Linked DNA regions of Schizosaccharomyces pombe. The protein of the gene in region 1 interacts with the protein of each later gene in a pairwise test. Each region holds a gene or a part of one and is shown on either strand. Other genes may lie near its edges.

What was found.
Region 2: the proteins of abo2 (region 1) and spo7 interact in a two-hybrid assay, tested with the Schizosaccharomyces pombe proteins (one large-scale study listed by BioGRID).
Region 3: the proteins of abo2 (region 1) and sds22 interact in a two-hybrid assay, tested with the Schizosaccharomyces pombe proteins (one large-scale study listed by BioGRID).

The regions. Positions count from the first base shown.
Region 1 is NC_003423.3:1,439,584-1,446,976, reverse strand, and holds the start of abo2 (ATPase histone chaperone), read left to right. Parts: upstream 1-4,255; 5' UTR 4,256-4,404; coding exon 4,405-7,393. Other genes in the region: Prp19 complex WD repeat protein Prp5, read right to left, coding at 1-865; nrk1 (nicotinamide riboside kinase), read right to left, coding at 1,304-1,503, 1,590-1,956, 2,131-2,199, 2,302-2,326, 2,381-2,412. UniProt on the Schizosaccharomyces pombe protein: Probable ATPase which may play a role in nucleosome organization.
Region 2 is NC_003424.3:3,243,679-3,251,071, forward strand, and holds the start of spo7 (ArfGEF Spo7), read left to right. Parts: upstream 1-4,080; 5' UTR 4,081-4,919; coding exon 4,920-7,393. Other genes in the region: RNA-binding protein Nop9, read right to left, coding at 1-1,547; histone H3.3 H4 heterotetramer chaperone Rtt106, read right to left, coding at 2,810-3,234, 3,279-3,902, 3,948-4,029. UniProt on the Schizosaccharomyces pombe protein: Appears to have a role in sporulation.
Region 3 is NC_003424.3:2,569,704-2,577,096, reverse strand, and holds sds22 (serine/threonine protein phosphatase PP1 regulatory subunit Sds22), read left to right. Parts: upstream 1-2,555; 5' UTR 2,556-2,623; coding exon 2,624-2,746; exon of another isoform or gene 2,747-2,801; coding exon 2,802-3,677; 3' UTR 3,678-3,937; downstream 3,938-7,393. Other genes in the region: SPOM_SPAC4A8.14 (ribose-phosphate pyrophosphokinase), read right to left, coding at 1-596; pts1 (20S proteasome complex subunit beta 5), read left to right, coding at 1,173-1,991; fatty acid synthase alpha subunit Fas2, read left to right, coding at 4,529-7,393. UniProt on the Schizosaccharomyces pombe protein: Essential for the mitotic metaphase/anaphase transition. Positively modulates protein phosphatase-1, possibly by forming a repeating helical rod that is capable of enhancing a PP1-dependent dephosphorylation activity.

The DNA.
Region 1 (7,393 bases):
TGTGGCCCGATAAAACATGGACATTTTGGCGAGTGCGCATATCCCAAACACGAGCGACTGCATCACGACCAGCGGTAACAAGGACGTCAAGTGTTGGATGGAGTTTTAAGGCATAGACTCCGGAAAGATGCCCGTGATAATGGCGGATCACTTTATTAGTTTCGAGGTCCCAGCATTTTACCATTTTGTCTTCACCACAGGAAAATAAATATGGATGACGGGGAGATACTGCTAATCCTCGCACAGTGGCGATATGCCCAGTCAATGTTAGCTTAAGTACTCCAGACGCTAAGTCCCATATTTTGATGGTGCGGTCCCCAGCACCCGTGCAAAACCATTGATTACCGGGTTCAACATCTACGCATCGAACCCAACCCAAATGACCACTAATAACACGCATAAGAGTCCATGGAGCATGCCATTCAGGGCGAATCTGTTCGGCAAGAGTGCGCTTTACGAGAGAAGCCTGGGATTCTCCGGCAATTCTATGTGCTGCTTCAGGAACTCCTTTAATTTTTTCTAAAGATTGCATGGAAACCTGCCCTGCTATTTTCTTATTAGGATCTGAAAACTTGGTGATCACTTGGGAGGAAGGGTTTTCACTGTCTGCTCTAACCGTCAAAGCATTACTACCAATAGTGTCTTCTTCGTAATGTCGGTTCTTCCGTTTTCCAACAGTTCCTCCAAGAACAGAACCATATTCTAAATGTTCTTTGTATGTTCTTTTGAGATTTTGAGCTACAGTATCGTCAAAACTGGTAACTGACCCAAACTCGGCTCCAAAAAGAGTTTTTGATGTTCTAAGACTATTTGTAGTCAAAGAAAGTACATCTGTATCATCCGATATGTTTTTTGCTTCTGTCATAAATCTGTTAAATTTTTGGTAGAGGATTTGTAGGTAGATGGCAGTTGGACTGACTTATTTGAAGCATCATAATCCACGAACATTAGCGAACGAGAAATATTAAGTACTAATATTTGAGAATAAAGTAGCTTACAAATGAATTGTCAAAATAAAAAAAGGGATGGTTATCAAGTAATAAAAGTTTGTAATATATATACATTTATTAAACGGTCTAGTTACGGATTATTAATAACATGATGTTCTAAAAGCGATAGTAGCAATAAATATATGGAGAGGAGGAAATGATGGAAAGTAATTAATTAACCCTGAATTTAAAAAGTAAATCATGCACAGGTAGTCTTGTCTAAAAAGAAAAAAAAGAAGCGGTAGAGAGGATTTGTGTATAAGTCAGGTAGTACTCAGAAAATACAAGTCGAAGAAAAGATAGATCAAAACGGATCATTGTAAAGCATTCAAAATTGAATTAATGGCCCATTGGACGTTATCTCTCACAGACATTTTACTAGAAGGGCTTAACTGTATACGCTTATCAAGCAATTTCCCTGTCACATCGCCATTGACAAACAAATGGGAATGACCATGTACATAGCCAGGCCAAACATAATTTTCGAAATAATGTGGGGGGTCTTGCCAAAATCCTGGAACAATTTGGAGTTAGCCTTAACTGAAAGGTACAACGATTAAACACAGGTGTTATGTTTTATCTGGATAGTTGAATTCTTACCTTCCAACGTTATATAACCAGTACGGGCTTCTCTACGACGCTTAAGCGTATCAAAATCGGTCACCAGCATCAGTCGAATATCAAATGCGTTTATAAGGTCTTCATTAACGTACATCATAAATCCGTCTACGAAAACGAGATGCTGTTCCAAAGTTGGAATGGCCGGTGCCTTGAATTCTTTAATTATATCAGCGTATTCTATTAGGGCTTCAGGAGCAACATTTTTATTTTCCCTATTTCGAAGGTGAGTAGGTAACACGCCATGATCACGGATATAATGCAAATTTTCAAGGAAAGCGTCTAAATTCAACGACTCTTGGCAATCCCAATCGGCAATGCCGTTTTTGACTGGTATCTCAGCATCAGTCTACAAAACAAACGAGTTAGTATATCAATAGGTGCTTTGGCACTACATAAAAACACAGTGTTTGCTTCATCGATAAGATTCAACCATCGGTTTTTAAAACGAGGGTACGATTTATTCTATGACACTTGCAAAATTCGCACGACTAGGCAAATAGACGAAATAATCTAAACGAACCTTGTAAAAATCATCTTCATGAACGAGAGAAGATCCTTCAAAAATGGCATGTAAAAGCTGGCATAGAGTCTGTCAAAACAAGAAAGAGAAATTGGTTAGTACTTCATTTTTTTTTTATTTTGGAGTTTTTGATTTTATTTTATTCTTTCTTATTAATCAAAATTATCATACCGATTTTCCACTACAAGAGGCACCACTAATTTTTTCTTGTTAATAAAAATTCATTAAAACAATTGCCTGTAGAACTTACCTAACCCCAACAATGATAGTTTTCCGAGTCATTCTAATGATAATATGGAAAAATGAAGGTAAAAATTGAGACAAGAAGCCTGGACAGAAGCTGGATACTGGAATTCGGTCTGTTATATTTGCACAACACAATTAATTAATTACCAGCCAAAAGCTGTAAGACAGGTTAACCGAATTTTAAAAAGAATTTGGATTTAAACAAAGCGCCTAGTATCTTAAATCAAGCTCGATGATTATTTGTTATGGAAATAAACGAGAATTTTAAAAAGATATGTGGTAAAGAAGCCGAATCCACAAAATTTTATAACAACCAACAAAACTTTTAGATATACAAGAACAAGTAAAAGATCACTTATAACGATTTCGCAAGTATAAGAAAATGGAAAAAGAAAGGAGTATACAAATTCTTTACGGTATAAATGGAGGATTTGAAAGATAATTTAAATTCACCAAATATTAACGCTTTCGAATACGTATAAGAATTTTTATATGGCAAATATGCCCGGTAAAGATTAATGGTGTTTTGAGTTATTGATCGTTTAAAACAAGAGTGAAATAGGAGGAAGGCTGGAGTTGGTAGTATGAAGATATGGTTAGTAGTATAATCAGTCAATAATACAAGGCTTTGGATGATAGCAATATACTAATCCGCTCCCGTCATGTATCCTTTACGAAAAGATAGGGTAGATAATAAGAGTAAAAAATACAATTTTTGTTTAAAATATATATATTTTTTGATTAGATAAAAAAAAGTGGTTCACTTTTTTTATTTATTTAGCCAAAGTATGTAGGAAATTGGAATTCTTTAATTGTTTTGCGAAAATTATTTTATTAATTATTGCTTTTTCCTTTCAAATTTGTGATAAACTATGTCTGAATAATATTAGTTTGCTATTTTCATTTTTTAAGTCGTTTTAATGTCTTTTGCTTATTGTTTACATTACACTTACTTAGTTCTACGGTAGCAAAGTTTTTATCAACTCCATGAAATGCGAATATTTCGATGAATTTAAAAAATATATGTATATTGGTTGAGTTTCTTGAGGCCTTGTTAAACGATTTTTGTAGTACTACACTTAGTAAATATAAAATTTTTTAACACTAGGTGTTTGGCTTCAGTTTTCCAATTTGACTAGCTTCAATTGCTTTTCCAAAAAAAAAATAAAAAAATAAATAAAATATAATAAAGCTATAAATTGCATGTAAATTGGATGAAACAATAGAATTAGTAATAATAATAAATACTGAATTCAAACATTAAGGAAATTTAAGGACACTATTTTAAAAATGAAATCAATATTGATCGAATTTCAATGGATCTGTATTGAATGCCAATGTAATTAGGAAATTAAAAGACCTTTTGGTTTAATAAAAAAATAAAAAAAGCCGTACCGATCTCTACCTTTGTTCATTATATCAATCTAATATGAGACGTAAAACTACGGATTATGAATAGTAAGTTTTCAAAGAGATTATAAAATAATACTCTTTGCATAAATTCTTCTCATCCTTTCAATTAACAGCGAAACGACGAAACACTGACAATCAATTAAATAAAAAAAAATACTATATCAGTGAGGAACGTCAAGTGAAGCTCAAGATTCGAAGTTGGCAATGAACTTTTATCCTCATAGAATTTCAAATCTATCCACATGTCTGTAAACAATGCATCAATGTATGGATATTACCAATGTACTAAACTGATCGTGGACAAATAATCTCAGAAAAGTCAATTTTTAAACAATATTGTTTTTGTAAAGATACTACTTCTGTTGTTTAGTCCAAAAATCCACTTACTCTACTATGTGCTTTCCTTTTCTTATAACGCATTGTTACGAACTTCATTTATTTACTTTTCCTTACAAACCTTCCATTCGTAAACCAGCATGTGGAAAACCTAAGATATCCCAAATTTTTTGGAGCCTTTAATTGTGCAATTGTAAATAAAAAATCTACATAACAAATTGTCTTAACCAAGTTGACAACGTCTTAATTTGTTGGTGCCAGCAGTGCATTTTGCGTGCAATGCGCAGAAGGGCCAGATCCATTCGTTTTAGTTCTGACGATAATGAAGATAATGAAGAAGATGATGATTATTACTCCAACGCACACAGCGAAAAATCAGAGGATCATTCAAATCATATAAAAGTTTCACATTTTGATCCTTCCTCCTATAAACAAAAGTTAGTTTCAGTGCGTGAAACTCAAAGAAATAGAAAATTCTCTTCGTTACAGAAACATCTAAACACAGAAACGCCTTCTTTTTCTGTTTCTATAGAAAATCCTTCAAAGCCTTCTGCGGCATTCAATGATGCATCATTGGGAAAGAAGAGTACTGAACATCAAATTGATGGTATCAGAAATGGAAGTAGTAACCTTCAAATGGAAGGAAATGATAAAGAGCTAGACACTGATAATAATGAGGACGAATCCACTACCTTTAAGGATGAAGAAGACGATTTGATAAGTCCGAAATCATATCTTACTTCTTCAAAAACCTTTTCGTATCCAAAAGCTCCAACAGAATCAACAAATGGTGATTATTTAGATGAAGACTACGTAGATGGACAAAGTGATCCTGAGTCTTCGAACGCCAGTGATTCTGACTTCGCGGATAGCCCTGATGATTTGACAAAAGTGCGCTCACCCATTCCAAGTAGAAGAGGACGTAGAAAAAGAAAAATGAGAGGTCCAATTTTGCCAGTTAAAAAAAATTTAAGGGTCAAGAAGGCAATGAGTCCTCTTCGCGCTGAGCGAAATTCACCAGATTTCCGACGCAAACTTCGTAGTCGTGACAATCGACCGAATTATCATTTATTTGACTATTACAACGAAATTGCATCTTCCCCAAATCCTTCAACAACGAAGATTACTTATAATCCGCCAAAATTGCCTATGAAAGATTTTGCTACTCTTCCCATCGGTTATCAAAGTACTTGCGATAGTGATGAAACGAGTGAGTTGAGCAGTACAAGTTCAGAGCAAACTTCCGACGTTGAAGGACTTAATGCTTACAATAATTTGGGCGCTAGTTCAGATATTGAGAATGCTCCCTCCTCTCAACTTCACTTTGGTCACATAGACGAAAAGACGATTAGAAGTACTGACCCTTTTGCCAATAGGGAAAATCTTGATTTCAATTCCATAGGAGGACTGGAAGATATTATACTTCAACTGAAAGAAATGGTGATGCTTCCTTTGTTATATCCAGAAGTATTCTTACATCTGCACATCACACCTCCTAGAGGTGTCTTGTTTCATGGTCCTCCAGGGACTGGAAAAACACTAATGGCTAGGGTGTTGGCCGCTAACTGCTCGACCAAAAATCAAAAAATTAGTTTCTTCTTGAGAAAAGGGTCTGATTGTTTAAGCAAATGGGTTGGCGAAGCAGAAAGGCAACTTAGGCTTTTATTCGAAGAAGCTAGAAGAGTACAACCCAGCATCATATTCTTTGATGAAATAGATGGGCTTGCTCCTATTCGATCTTCAAAACAAGAGCAAACTCACAGTTCCATTGTCTCCACCTTGCTTGCTTTAATGGATGGCCTCGATACGCGTGGACAAGTAGTAGTAATTGGTGCTACTAATCGTCCCAACGATCTTGACCCGGCCTTAAGGAGACCCGGTAGATTTGATCGCGAATTCTACTTCCCTCTACCAAATAAGCAAGCACGTATGAAAATTCTTGAAATCAATTCTTTACATTTTTCTCCAAAAATACCAGAGAGCTACTTATTACACTTAGCGGAATCTACGTCTGGTTATGGTGGAGCAGATTTAAAAGCTTTATGCACCGAAGCAGCCCTTAATGCAGTTCGACGCACCTTCCCCCAAATTTACACATCTTCTGACAAATTTTTAATTGACCTGAATGAAATATCCGTTAGCATTTGCGATTTTGTAGTCGCATCTGAGAAGATTGCTGTTTCTACACGAAGAAGTGATGTTAAGCCGAATATACCTATTACGGATTCCCACAAAATTCTGTTTAAGAAAAGTATTGAGGTTATAACGTCAAAAATTAGACGACTATTAAAACTTGACGTATATTTACCAACGGTCGAGTCTTTACAAAAACTTCCTGCTGAAGAGTTGATGAGGCAAAAAGAAATTAACTCTCTAAAAACTACCATGTCATTCCGCCCAAGACTATTGATTACTGATATTTATGGATATGGATGTACTTATTTAAGCAAAGTGCTTTTCTCTATGTTAGATGGTATCCACGTGCAGTCTTTGGATATTTCTGAGTTGTTAATGGACACAACCACATCTCCGAGGTCTTTGTTAACCAAGATATTCTCTGAAGCCCGAAAAAATGCGCCAAGTATTATATTTATCAATAACGTAGAAAAATGGCCATCTCTATTTTCACATAGCTTTTTGTCAATGTTCCTTCTTTTATTAGATTCAATTTCCCCTTTAGAACCTGTCATGTTACTGGGGTTTGCTAATACTAATCAAGAAAAATTGTCGTCTACCGTCCGCTCCTGGTTTCCTTCTCATCGAAGCGAATATCATGACTTGTCGTTTCCTGATTATTCATCAAGATACTCTTTTTTCCATTACTTGCTTAAACGTATTTCATTCCTTCCCATTCACCAAAAGAGCGCCGAAGCAGCAAGCGTTGATATTTTACCCAAAGTACTACCAGTTTCTAAAACATCAGATTTAACCGACAAAGTAAACCGAAGACAAAGAAAGAACGACAAGAAAATAAAAAACAAAATTCAGGTTAAACTTAGCTCAATACTTGAAATGCTTCGCTCTCGTTATAAAAAGTTCAAAAAACCGATAATAGATTTAAATGACATTTACATTGATGAGTCGAACGAAAGGGTGGTAAAAGGAAAATCGAAGGATAATTTTGAGTATTTCCTTTCAGGAAATACAGTCACTCGTAAAAAAGACAATGCTTGTTTCAAAATGATGAACTTTGAGGAAATTGAAAGACGCTTATGGAGTGGACGTTACTGTACTCCTAAAGAGTTTTTGCGTGATATCAAAATGATCA
Region 2 (7,393 bases), on another chromosome or scaffold:
GATAAATCAAGAATTCCTTCTATCAAGTGAGAGGATACTGTTTCCAGACAATATTCCAAAATCTGCTCTTTTGAGAGATCTAAAACGCTATCTAATAATAACTGAATATGTTGTTTCTCACAGTGAAGCATTTCTTCTAACAGTTGAGCACCCAGTAAATTATTAACAAGTTTACGCTCTTTGTTTTCTGGGTTGGCTTTATCACGTTTATGCTTCGATCGGAGCAAGCATGGAATAATGTTGGCATCCTTTCCACTATTTGTTACGCTTGTCTGAATCATTGAAAATATGTCATCTTGATAACAATGTAAATGGTTACTCTTCTCAAGTAATGTCCTTAACACTGGAAGAAATGACTTCCTAATGATGTTGTCTGTATTCTTCTTTAATTCATCAATGACAGAACCAATCTCCTTCCTTCCCAACCTTCTTATGTAACGTTGCATTATAAAATTGGCTATAGGATGAACACAAAGCCGATAAAAACGTCCTTCAAAGACGGCATAAAATCTGAGTAGATGAGAGGCTGACATGTTTTCAACGATGACCTCCAGAATACGCGAGCCAGTTTCGTCCTTCAACAAAGTTTCCATAAACGGTAATTCTTTTAAATCGTACTCGTTAGATAGTAACAATTTGGAAACTAAGCGTGGATCGTGCTTCTTTTTTGTTTTTTTTGAGCGCTCAAAGTCTATACGTATAAACGCTCTCATAATTTGACTCGCATATTTATCAACACAATAAGCTCGAAGTTCTGGGGTATCGAGGTTGTCCGTAGCACTATCAATTATGGAATAAGCAAACTGGGGAAAGGATTCGGGAACAGAAATAGACTCCATAGTGGTTCTGTTTCCATCATGATACACGAATCGATATCCATCAAGCAAAAGGAAAATTTTGCCCAATACATGAACAGCCAACTTATGGCTCATTAGCATAGAAACCTCTGGGCGTATTTCATTGTACATGTACATAAGTAAAGTTTCTGCTGTCATGAAGACATTTTCATTTTCACCTTCCAAAACATCATCTTGATCCTCTGTAACACCTTGGGTTTCCAAATTTAGAATGGCAGCCATGTGACTCAACAGCTTTTCGAAAGCATAAGAGCCAAACGTTGTCTGAATTAGCTCCACATAATGACCATTCAATGCAGAAAAAAACGATTTGATTTGTCTACTCGTTGATAAAGGGAAAAGCTTTTCAAGAACCTTCGATCCGAACACATTGTTGCAGACAATTAGCTCTTTGCCTTGCACCTCACGATAAATGCTGTCGACAAAAAACCTGGTATCTTCGTTTTCTCTTGTAAAATGATTGGCAAAAGCCTGTTCAGCTTGTTGGAAGTATTTTTCTTCTTCGGGGTCCAAAGCACCAAAAAACGGTTGCACTGGTTCATTCGTGTAACGGTTTACCTGATATGCACCTTCATCATTTCCAGCGCCTTCATCGTTTTTTGCAATACCGGGAGAAACAACTGAATTAACTTCTTCCTCCTTTTGTTTGGCAGAGTGCTTTTTACCACGCGTTTTTCTTTTTTTTGGCATTTTGCTCTAGGATTGAATTAGCATTATAGGATTCGAAAATTTGTTGGAAATAATTTCTGTTATGCCTCTTTAATTTTAATAACGCATGGGGGTATAAAGTTTTATTGTGCAAGCAATACTACACTACGCTATATTACATTAGGGTATTCATCACTATATGTCATATATTAGAATACCAGTTAGATCCGCGTATTGATCATTGCGGACATTATCCTCTTATTTACTAGGATATTTTTCTAGAAAAATTATCAGTAAGATTATAAATAGAGTTACAACTTAACTGAGAAACGAGGTACAGTAATAAGCACTATTTAGTGACAGGTAACAGTTTGACCCATATATATAATACCTACATTGGTCAGCGCTTATTAACCTACTTATTATAATATAATAGGTCACAAGAATTATCACCGGGTTTTACGTATCGTTAAAAAAGACACTGAACTGCGTAAGTGTCACCTATTTTTTTTACCGTACGTTATGAACATAGCTTTTTAACTAAAATGTAAATAAATAATGATTAGATAAATTGCAACAGCATTTTAGAAGAGCTAATCATTAATATCAATCAAAAACATTTCTATTGTCTTAAATTAATTTTCTTTCTTTTTAAGAAGAAGATCCTTCAATAACAGTCGATGAGTTGATATATTGTTAAATTATTTAATTTCTTACATTCAGAAAAAGATTTTAGTAATTTATTGACAAAGAAAAAAACTAATGTAAAAAATTAAACAATTAGTTACTTATAGTCGTCTTTTTTTTTGAAAAAAATAATTAAAAAATCTCGTGAAAGAGTTTTTAAAGATTTATGCTAATTGTGAATTAAATTATGGGCAGTTCAGGTAATTCTTGCTTAAACTCAGCTACCCTTCTGTTAAAATGAACATCAGGAACTTTAAATAACCGCTATTTACATTATATACCTTTTTTAAGAGCGGCAGATCGAATAAGGTAATTAGGAATTTTCATAAATTAGTATTATAGAAAATATTTACATGTTGGTCGGGTAATTTTTGAGAAAACTCAAACAAGTGGGAGCGTAAATCTATTGATTAGCACACAAAGTCCAGATCCACACTTTTTAAACTATCAACAAAAAATGTATCCTGCGACAACTTTGTGTATAACTTGAGTCTAAAACAAATTTGGATAGCTCACAGATAACCTTTTGCTAGAAGACTTTAAATTTATTTAAATCCTTAAATTAAAACAAACTGGTAATAAATAAAACAGAAAAAAATTTATGTACATTCAACTTTCTATTCTTCGTCCTCTGAACCGATAGATTCGCTACCGTCCTCGCTGTCGCTGTTTTCGACATCCTCGTCGTTATCAGAGAATAAAGGTTCTTTAACATCAATATCATCCATATCATCAACATTTTCAAGAGATGATGCCTCATTCAAATATGAAACAGATGGATTTTTAGGGACTGGTGCAGCTTTTTCTTCAGCAAGACTGGAGTCCATTAGTCCATGCTTTGTCGCGTAATCATTTACTGCTCTAAAGACACTTTGATCAACCATATCGAATGAATATATTGTACCACCAGCTTCAAAATTAACTGTAAATGTTCGTTGCAAAACATTACTATAGGAAAAATGCTGGATGCTAGCTAGTTCAATGAAAAGTATAGGTTTACGGAAGCCCCATAGTATGCCAGTACGCAGAAAAAATAAATGCCCTATTTGATTAGCAATTTTGACACAGAATTCATCCTTTGCATACCATCTTTAGCTTTATAGTTTGCTTCAACCCCATATGTCGTGCCATTGTCCCCCGTTTGCGGGTTTGGACAAACAAATTCTTCGACAGAAGGAGACAAAGTACTAGTGCCAATAAACTCAAAGTAATCGCGAAAAATATCCCATGAGTTCGTGCAGTGGGTGAAGGATCGTAAACCTTCAACGAGGTTGAGCTTTTTCAAAGGATACGGTGCCGTAAAAAAGACAGGTTCTTTTACATTATCACTTGAAACAATATTTTCTGCCGACGATTCACTTTTAAGGATGATCACAAAGTTGTTTTGAACATTAGCTTTCCTTGGACATGGGACATGGATTGCACAACGAATTTCATTCCAGGGAAGCCAAAATTCAATTAAATTGGGTTCGCCTGGTAATGTTACTGCTATTCCATTTTCATAAATGTAGACGTCTAGCTTTTTTCGCATAGGTGCCTGAAACGATAGATTAAGTACTCCATAGACCAATTGACCTAACTCATGTTGAACACGATCCTTTCGTTTTAAACTTCCAGCCTCCTTCACTTGGCCTGATTCGTTTTCCTTTTGCAATGTATTGATGTACTTGCAAATTCGATGCACTAGAGGCTGTATACTTTTTGTTTTCCCTAATTTCATTAGACTAAGGAAAAAAGCATGTACTCAAACCTTACCATATTGTTTGATTATATCTTTTGCTAACTCAGAATCTTTGGCAAATGCCTTTTCTATTTCATCGTTCACGTTGGACTCCATTAGAGATGGCTGCCGGCTAGAATTTATTGAGTCTTAAACAAGGGCTTCGACAGCACACCACACCTCAGCTAACAGTAACAAATGTAATAGCAACTATTTCCATTATCATGCAAATGATTTCGATCCAATAAAAATTTTATCCCAAGTGGTTACGTTCAAACTTCGGTTCGCTGTTGACTTTATGTTAGCAACAAATTTTTATTTTATGGATCAATATGAATATGCTTAATTTATAATTGCTCAATTTTACTCAACAAAGGTAGTCATTTTACATAAATGAGATAAAAACTCATTCTATTATCGTATCAGTTACTTTCGTATGAAAAGTCCAAAAAAGTTGGGAACATTTTGTGAAACGATATCGATTTTCCCTTTGATTCTTTTTGCGATCTATAGATAAATTTCAGCTGTAGAACTGATTAGCTTTCTTCAGCATTGGGAAGGTCAGATTGTTGCTCCTATAATCGGATATGGTTTCCCTTAAAGTTGTTATTGTTTCGATTTTGTCAAAGAAATTATTAAATGATCCTAAAATTCGTTTTATTGGTTTATGTTGTTCCCGATGTAATCAACGTGTGTTGACATTTACAAACGTAAACAAATAGTTTGTTCGCTAGGTCTAATGCAATGAGGTGTTTTAAGACATAAGCTATTTGTTTTGCCTATTTTTCCTTTACCCTCAACCTCCCTCAAAACTGACGGTTTGTATAAATATTTAAGGAAACAATTTTGATAATTGTCCTTACAAAACTTACATAATTATCCTAATTGCTTTCGCGATCAACCGATTGAAAGAATTCCTATATTCATATTGTATTTTTTAAGCGTTCTTCCGACATAACTATTAATTTCTTTTAATCAATTGTATAATTATCCACGAAAAAGGTAGAATGGATTTTAGAATAACAGAAGGATCTTCCCCAACAAGCTTAAGTGTTTCGGAAAAAATTGCAAAGTTGGAATCGTGCAATGATAGTCGCATCACTTGTCGTCCTGTGAGAGAATCAAAGCCTACCTATACTTCCGGCCAAAAGCATTCAGCGTTGCTTTCGAAGTTGAAGCGGTCTAAAGTTACAACCGATTTTTGCAAACTTGAGGAATCAAAGGGAATAATTTGTCAAGAAAATTTGCATACGGAAGGCGCTAAAAGCAAAACGGAAAATATTTCTGGAGAAGACAAATCTTCTCAGAGAAGGACACGCTTGAAGCAGATTCAGGAATTTATAAGTCATCGTCGCTCTTTTCTCAATTCCAATGCCAATTCTGTGGAGTCTGAGAAAATCTTGGCTGAAAACAATCATATGTTTAACGTTAAAAGCAAGTTAAGCAACAAAGAATCGTTTATTAAAACCCGGCGTCCTCGAACAAATGGTGAACTTTCTGATTTAAGCCTTCAGCCTAAACGAATATTTAGTGAACCCGTAAACTCTCATCCTTCTCAATCCATGTTCGGCAACGGCGTACGAGCTTCCTCTGGTTCTTACTCATTAAAACGTGATTTGAAAGATTATGAAGAAGAACTTCCATCTTCTAAAAAGCGCCAAAGAACGCCGCCTCCGATAGTCGTTACCAATTTTCCTCAGGAAATATTTCCTTCAAAAAAAATTAGTTTATCTGCTAAGAGGAGGATTCAGGGGAAGTATTCCGGGGAAAATGTTAGAGCAAGGATCGAGCTAGCTAGGGAGAGAAATAGAAAAAGGGACTATGTTTCAAATTTATCTAAAGGGCATACTACAAATGCTTTAGAAGAGAATCCCTTTAATTTAGGTCCTAATTATCGGGCTTCCACCAGAAAATGTAACAGAATAAAGGAAGCTATAAACCTATTTGCTGCTAAAAATGGTTCAATGGAAGTACCACCAAAAGTGTCAGTCGGTGATTCAGTTCTGACAACTTCTCAGAAGTTTTTGCAAGTGATAAGGGAAAAGACTGCGCTACTAATGAACCAAGATTCTAATTCAGTACAACCACAAGCATTGGCTGCAGCAGAGTCTCCTACAACAAAGGCTCCTACAACAAAGGCACCGACATCTGAGGCTCCTCCCAAGGGTCATGTTAAACAACTAGCCAAACAACTAGGAAATATTTACATGCCACAATCGATAAACAATGTTGAACCGACATCCCATTCCAGCATATCTAAGGTAGTTAATCCATCAGAGAAAGTTATTTCAAAAATTGAGAGAGCGTGTCTAGCTGGAAATGGTAATGTACACCCGAGCATAAAAATGGAAAAAAATTTAGAGTTGAACCCTCATCCAAGAACTTTGAACGCTACTGAACACAAAATCAATAGTCGTATACAGGTATCGAAACTTAACACTAAAAATGAGCTTGCTAATGCTGATCCCAAAATGTATTTACTTGAAAATCTTTCTGACCGCCTATATTTTTGCAAATTAGCAAAACTTTTGCTCAGGAAATACCCTTTAGACATCGCGGAACACCAATTTGCGTTAGTTTATTCAAGATTCCAAAGAATACCACTAAAGCAGATTTCTTGCTTAAAACAATCGTTGGTTGCGTATTATTCAGTGCTTTCGGAGGTTGGTATTACAAACGAAATAATGTTGCGTGAAAATCGGTTTTCTTCACCCAAAACCCCCGAAGGTCTAGTTTCAATTTCAAAATTACTATTGGATGACCGAGAGCATCTTAGTCATGATGAACGTAGCTATATTCAACAATTGCAAAGTCAGATTAAGTCTCAGTCAGTTCACCATGAAAACGCAGCTGAAGAAATTCGCAAGATGCGCAATTTACGCAATTCACGCATAAATAGTCAGCAGGTTGGCGAAAAAGTTTTTGTGAATCCAGATGTCAAAACTATGGATATTCAGGAAACGTTCCTACAAGATTATGAAGATGAAACGTTTGCTAACGAAGGTCTGAGCGCTTCAAAGTTTAAAGAAGAGTTTTTGCTTATAAGTGATAGCAAGAGTGATCTCAATTCCGAAGAAATAGCAACTCCCAATTCTTTGGAATTTAAAAACAATCCAAGAATTAAAGTTCCACGATCACTTTTAACTATTTTGAATTTACACGACCGTTCTCAACTGAAATTGTTCGAGGTATGTCACAATTCAGAGTTTAAGGACCCCATTAATTTATCCAATTGCTTACGGAATTTGCTAGAGAAGCAGCTATTGTCGTACAATTTTACAGATTGGTTTGCTAGTTTGGGATCTGAATATGAAAATGTGTATGTAAAATTCATATCACACTATGACTTTTCAAGTTTAAATGTTTACGCTTCCTTTCAAAAATTATGCTGTGATCTTTACTATGGCTCGGATGATTACATACACTCTCCTATTTTGCAAGTCTTCGCATCTTGTTGGCTTAAGCAAAATAGTAATTATGG
Region 3 (7,393 bases), on another chromosome or scaffold:
CTTCGTTGTCTATCAGTGTTAATCAATGCAAAGTCCAAATTCAAAGTATCCGCCAAACTGGTAACTCTTTTGGCACCACCAGGATTCTTCGAAACTACTACCGCTTCTTCCCAATCATCGACGTTTCTACGAATCCATTCAGCTATGTTAGGCTCTGCATATAGATTGTCGACTGGGCGAGTGAAGAATCCCTGCATTTGAGAAGCATGCAAATCAAGAGTAATTATATGATCAACACCAGCAACGGTTAATAAATTGGCTACCATTCTAGCTGTAATGGCATCTCGATACTTCCGCATTTTAGATTGTTTGGAATAAGGAAAGTAAGGCATGACAGCTGTGATTCTTTTAGCAGATCCACCTTTACAAGCGCTTATAATAATAAGGAGCTCCATTAAGCTGTCATTTACAGTGGAACTTCCACTTTGCAAAATGAAAACGTCCTTATCTCGCACTGACTCACGAATTTCAACGCTTGTCTCGCCATTTGCAAACCTTTTTAGAGATACATCACAAGGTGTAATTCCAAGTCGGTTAGAAATGAGATGTAAAAGTTCAGGATGAGAACCGCCTCCAATGATTGTAGCACTCTTCATATTCCCTATAATATATTTCCTCAACTTACGGTTCCCGAATTTCAAAATCTACAAAATTACTCAAGTGAGCTTCAAAAAACTATATATGTGCTAGAACTACGAGAAGTAATTATATTATCGTTTTCCCGTTAAACAGATGCGTCTAGGTATAGGTAATTGAGTAAAAAGAAGAGTGTAACTTTCTGTTGTTTTTTATTTGCCAGTTTTAAGCATCGGTATACTTATTTAACGTAACTGTAAAATGGCACGCTAAAACGATAGTTTCTTTGTTTTCCCAACATGCTAGATAGGTCACATGGACTCATAAATTGGCATTCCTAAAATGTTAGATAAATATACAAAATCAGCTGAAATATTACTATTAAGTCTAGAAAACAAAAATAATTTAAATTTGACAAAAACTTATTTTTAAAAATGTTTGACATTTTTCGCTTCTTTTGCGTTTAGTCATAACAGTAGTCGCGGTAGTGTTCCAAATATTATAATAGCGATTTCTAAGAGAGTCGCTATATTGAGTGTTTGCCGTAAGCTGACTGAGCGACGAACGTGCTAAGAGCGTAATACTATTCTTTAATCATGAATTCTATCGTATCTAAGTATACACAAAGTACTAACAATGATGACCCAAAAAAAATAATAGAAGAAGAAGGATTTACAAATCGATTTGATGTCGTACCAGTGCCTCAATCTTCTCTTTATTTACGAAACTTAACAGATGAAACGAAAAACAAGCATTGTCTTATTAAAATGAATCATGGTACTACTACTTTAGCTTTTCGTTACCAACATGGTATCGTTGTTTGTGTAGATTCGAGAGCATCTGCCGGTCCTCTTATTGCTTCACAAACCGTTAAAAAAGTTATAGAGATAAACCCATATCTTTTAGGTACTCTTGCTGGTGGTGCAGCTGACTGTCAGTTTTGGGAGACAGTTCTAGGAATGGAATGTCGTTTACATCAACTTAGAAATAAGGAGTTAATCTCTGTTTCTGCTGCTAGCAAAATTCTTTCAAACATTACTTATTCATACAAGGGTTATGGACTTAGCATGGGTACTATGCTTGCTGGAACAGGAAAAGGTGGTACTGCACTTTACTACATCGACAGTGATGGCACCCGATTGAAAGGTGATTTGTTTTCCGTTGGTTCAGGTTCTACATTTGCGTACGGTGTTTTGGACTCTGGATATCGCTGGGACTTATCTAAACAAGAAGCTCTTTATTTAGCTCAGCGCTCTATTGTTGCTGCCACTCACAGAGATGCATACTCTGGTGGCTCAGTAAATCTTTATCACATTGATGAAAATGGTTGGGTCTTCCATGGAAACTTTGATGTTGATAGTCTTATATGGGAAGCAAAAGATAACGAAAACTCCTTTGCTCATATCCCTCGCTAAACTCATGCTTGCTAGTAGTCATGTGTCATCGGTGTATTAAATGAGACGTTGTTATTTGCTATTCCCTTCTAGGTCAACTGTCATTTATTCATTTATTTTATACCCTTATATTTGAATGTCGAAGTCAATTCCGTAAACTATACATCGTTTGTAACTTCTTTCAGAGAATGTACAATTTCACATTGCCATATATTTGATTGACTAGCTTAACATGACTTGAAATGAACCTTGTTTTCAAATCTGTTTTTATCAGTATTCGAGGAGGGGGTTATATTACCGTGTAAGTTATCGTTCATTAATAAATCTATACACACCATATGATAATTGTTCCATTAATGTGATGAGTACTAACGATTGTTAAACAATTAAGCTGCAATTGGGATTGTTTAGCATTTAGTCAACTTAATGATTTTCGCTGAATAAGATTATTTTATGTTGCGGTATGCTATGAGTTTCACTATAGTGAGTTTTTTAACGATTCGATAAAAACTATACAGATTTGTAAAAAGCTATAGCAAGAGTATCGTTGCTTCCTAAAGCGTCGTTATGTTGTCACGGTACTCTACTTGAAAGCATATAGTACTTTCGTTTGTAACACGTTTGCCCTTTTTATTATATCGCCTTTTTTTACAATGAGTAACGTTTCCAGTGAAGATGGAATTGCTCCTGAGACACAGCTTATCATTGATGACCCTGATGTCCAGCAAATCGATGCAGATGAAGATCTGCTTGATGATGTGCCGGACGACGTCGATGTAAATGATATCTTTAAATCATTAAATTGAAATATAGCTAACCAACTTAATATAGTGCGTAGAGCTTATTCAGTCTCGTATACAAAGCATGGCATCTCTTGGACTTGAAAGATTTAAAAATTTACAGAGTTTATGTCTTCGCCAAAATCAAATCAAGAAAATTGAATCAGTTCCAGAAACATTGACTGAATTGGATTTGTATGACAACTTAATTGTCAGAATTGAAAACTTGGATAATGTCAAAAATCTCACTTACTTGGATCTGTCTTTCAACAATATTAAAACGATTCGAAACATTAACCATTTAAAGGGCTTAGAAAACCTCTTCTTTGTCCAAAACAGAATTAGGAGAATTGAAAATTTAGAAGGTTTAGACAGGTTAACGAACCTTGAATTGGGGGGGAACAAAATAAGAGTAATTGAGAATTTGGATACTTTAGTTAATTTAGAAAAACTCTGGGTTGGCAAAAACAAAATAACCAAATTCGAGAATTTTGAAAAATTACAGAAACTTTCTCTTTTATCAATTCAATCAAATCGAATAACTCAATTTGAAAACTTGGCCTGCTTATCCCATTGTCTTCGAGAATTATATGTATCGCATAATGGTCTAACTAGTTTCTCTGGTATTGAGGTCCTCGAAAACCTTGAAATTTTGGATGTTTCCAACAACATGATTAAGCACCTTTCATACTTAGCGGGACTAAAAAATCTAGTAGAATTATGGGCTAGCAATAACGAACTGTCTTCTTTTCAAGAAATTGAAGACGAGCTTTCTGGTCTTAAAAAACTTGAAACCGTTTATTTTGAGGGAAATCCTTTGCAGAAAACCAATCCTGCTGTTTACCGTAACAAAGTTAGATTATGTCTTCCACAGTTACGCCAAATAGATGCAACTATTATCCCCAAAACTTCGAAGCAATTCCCCTAATCGTTATATGGATTGACTATAAAATCTCTTAATTTAAAACATTTCAATATGGTTTCCCTCCGTTAATGCTATACAACCAAAGTATTGAAAGAAAGTATACGACTAAAGATTTATTAGATACATCTTACAATTGAACAGTTCTCTACGATTGAGAGTACACTTTAGTAGTAAAATGCTTTTTTCGTTGTCATCTATCTATTAGATAGTATGTTAGTTGATCACGTTTACACTCATACTTGAAAAGTTATGTAATTTGCTGGAAAAGAATTGCGTATAAAATCGGTGGCAGGTAGATATAAGTTGGCAAATAGTTTTATATGGTTTTTCTTAGTTTTACGTATACTGGTAAATTCTATATTTATAGTTATCTCACATAGTCGAAATACGTGTTTAGTTTAAAAGCTCTCGCAGATCGCGATAAAAATAATACTCTTATTATTAAATAGACTATTGGTAAACAGTGTACTTTGTTTCGACTAATGATAAAACTGAGCACCTAACGCTCAATTCCAACAAGGTAAGATGCTTCTTGTTTATTGCTAAATTTACTAAATTGAAAAAGAGATGATCTTATATTTAACAAAATCTCTCTCTAAAATCTTTCTATAACTGATAATTACTCAAAAGTATTTTACAAGCTTACTATACTGTGTAGTAGAGAGTGATAAAATGTTAATTATGCCACAAGCAGTTGCTAATTCGCTATATTTGATAACGATGCGTTAAATATTCGTTACATGCTTCAAAGCTGATAGGTTTAACCTGAGTGTTCCCACGCGATAGTAAAGGATCAAGTTAACTAGAACCAACAACTAAAGCAGGTGTTGGAGTTTTGTTAAACCATTTGAATAATGAGACCAGAAGTTGAGCAGGAGCTTGCTCATACTTTATTATTGGAGTTGCTTGCATACCAGTTTGCATCTCCTGTCCGTTGGATTGAGACGCAAGATGTAATTCTTTCTCCTCCAGTATCGGCTGAACGTATCGTCGAAATTGGACCTAGTCCTACCTTAGCTGGTATGGCTAAGCGTACCTTGAAATTGAAATATGAGAACATGGATGCCGCTTTAAGTATTAATCGTGAAGTTCTTTGCTACTCTAAAGATGCTCGTGAAATCTATTACAACTTTGAGGACGAGGTTGCTGATGAACCTGCCGAAGCCCCAGCTTCAACCAGCTCCACTCCAAAGGTTGAAACTGCTGCTGCTGCCGCTCCCGCTGCCACGCCAGCCCCTGCCCCAGCACAAACATCAGCCCCAGCTGCTGCTTTACCTGACGAGCCTCCCAAAGCTCTTGAGGTACTTCATACTCTTGTTGCCCAAAAGTTGAAGAAAAGCATCGAGGAAGTCTCCCCTCAAAAATCTATCAAAGATTTGGTTGGCGGTAAGTCCACTTTGCAAAACGAAATTCTTGGTGATTTACAGAAGGAGTTCGGTGCCACTCCCGAGAAGCCAGAGGAGGTTCCATTGGATGAGCTTGGAGCTATCATGCAGTCAAGCTTTAACGGATCTCTTGGTAAACAATCGTCTTCTCTTATCTCACGAATGATTTCCTCAAAAATGCCTGGTGGTTTCAATAATTCTGCTGTTCGTGGTTATTTAGGAAACCGTTATGGTTTGGGTCCTGGTCGTTTGGAGTCTGTGCTTTTGTTAGCGCTTACCATGGAACCTGCATCACGTTTGGGCTCGGAAGCTGATGCTAAAGCTTGGCTTGATAGTGTAGCTCAAAAATATGCTGCTCGTAATGGTGTTACATTATCTTCTCCTACTGCTGAAGGCGGTTCTTCGTCCGGTTCTGCAGCTGTTATCGATGAAGAAACCTTTAAGAAACTCACCAAGAATAATACCATGCTTGTTACTCAGCAATTAGAACTATTTGCTCGATACCTCAATAAAGACCTTCGTGCTGGCCAAAAGGCTCAAGTTGCTGAAAAGGTTATTTCCGATACCTTACGCGCTCAATTAGATTTATGGAACGAAGAACATGGTGAATTTTATGCATCAGGAATTGCTCCTATTTTTTCGCCTTTAAAAGCTCGCGTTTACGACTCCGACTGGAATTGGGCTCGTCAAGATGCTCTTAAGATGTTTTTTGACATTATCTTTGGTCGTCTTAAGCATGTTGATACTGAAATAGTCGCTCGTTGTATTTCTGTTATGAATAGATCCAACCCTACTTTACTTGAATTTATGCAATATCATATTGATCATTGTCCCGCCGAAAAGGGTGAAACATATCAACTTGCTAAAACCTTGGGCCAACAGCTAATTGATAATTGCAAATCCGTGATAGATGCTCCTCCAGTTTTCAAAAATGTGAATCATCCAACTGCTCCTTCTACGACGATTGACGAACGTGGTAATTTGAATTATGAAGAAATCCCTAGACCAGGTGTTCGCAAATTAACTCATTACGTTACTGAGATGGCCAAAGGTGGTAAATTACCAACGGAGTCCAAAAACAAAGCTAAGGTACAAAACGATTTGGCTCGAATTTATCGCATTATTAAGTCTCAAAACAAAATGTCTCGTTCGTCTAAGTTGCAGATTAAACAGTTGTACGGTCAGGTTTTACATGCCCTTTCCCTTCCATTGCCTTCTTCCAACGATGAACAAACGCCTGTTAAAGAAACCATTCCTTTCCTTCATATTAGGAAGAAGTCCGTTGATGGTAATTGGGAATTCAACAAGTCATTGACTGGCACTTATTTAGATGTTTTAGAATCGGGTGCTAAGAATGGTATAACATACCAAGACAAATATGCTCTAGTGACTGGTGCAGGTGCAGGCTCCATTGGTGCTCAGATTGTTGAAGGTCTCCTTGCTGGTGGTGCTAAAGTTGTAGTTACTACATCCCGGTTTTCGCGCAAGGTTACTGAATTTTATCAATCCCTTTACACCCGCCATGGAAGCCGTGGTTCATGTCTGATCGTGGTTCCATTTAACCAAGGATCTAAGACAGACGTAGAAGCTCTTATTGATTATATTTATGACGAAAAGAAGGGTCTTGGATGGAACTTGGACTACATTGTTCCTTTCGCTGCCATTCCAGAAAATGGTCGTGAAATTGATGGCATTGATTCTCGTTCCGAGTTTGCTCACCGTATTATGTTGACAAACATTTTGAGACTGCTTGGCGCCGTCAAAAGTCAAAAGGCCTCTCGTGGTATGGATACCCGACCCGCTCAAGTTATTTTGCCTCTTTCTCCCAATCACGGTACCTTTGGAAACGATGGTTTATACTCGGAATCTAAGTTAGGTTTAGAAACTTTGTTTAACCGTTGGTACTCCGAGTCATGGGCTAATTACCTAACCATTTGTGGGGCTGTCATTGGTTGGACTCGTGGTACAGGCTTAATGGCACCTAATAATATTGTTTCTCAGGGAATCGAAAAATATGGTGTTCGTACTTTTTCGCAGAGTGAGATGGCTTTTAACATTTTGGGTTTGATGTCCCAGAAAGTCGTCGACTTGTGTCAATCTGAACCAATTTATGCCAACCTTAACGGTGGTCTTGAGCTTTTACCTGATCTCAAGGACCTTTCCACTCGTTTGCGTACCGAATTGTTAGAAACTGCCGAAATCCGCCGCGCTGTTGCCGCAGAGACTGCCTTTGATCATAGCATTACCAACGGACCTGACTCTGAAGCAGTTTTCCAGAAAACTGCCATTCAGCCTAGGGCCAATCTTAAATTTAATTTCCCCAAATTGAAACCT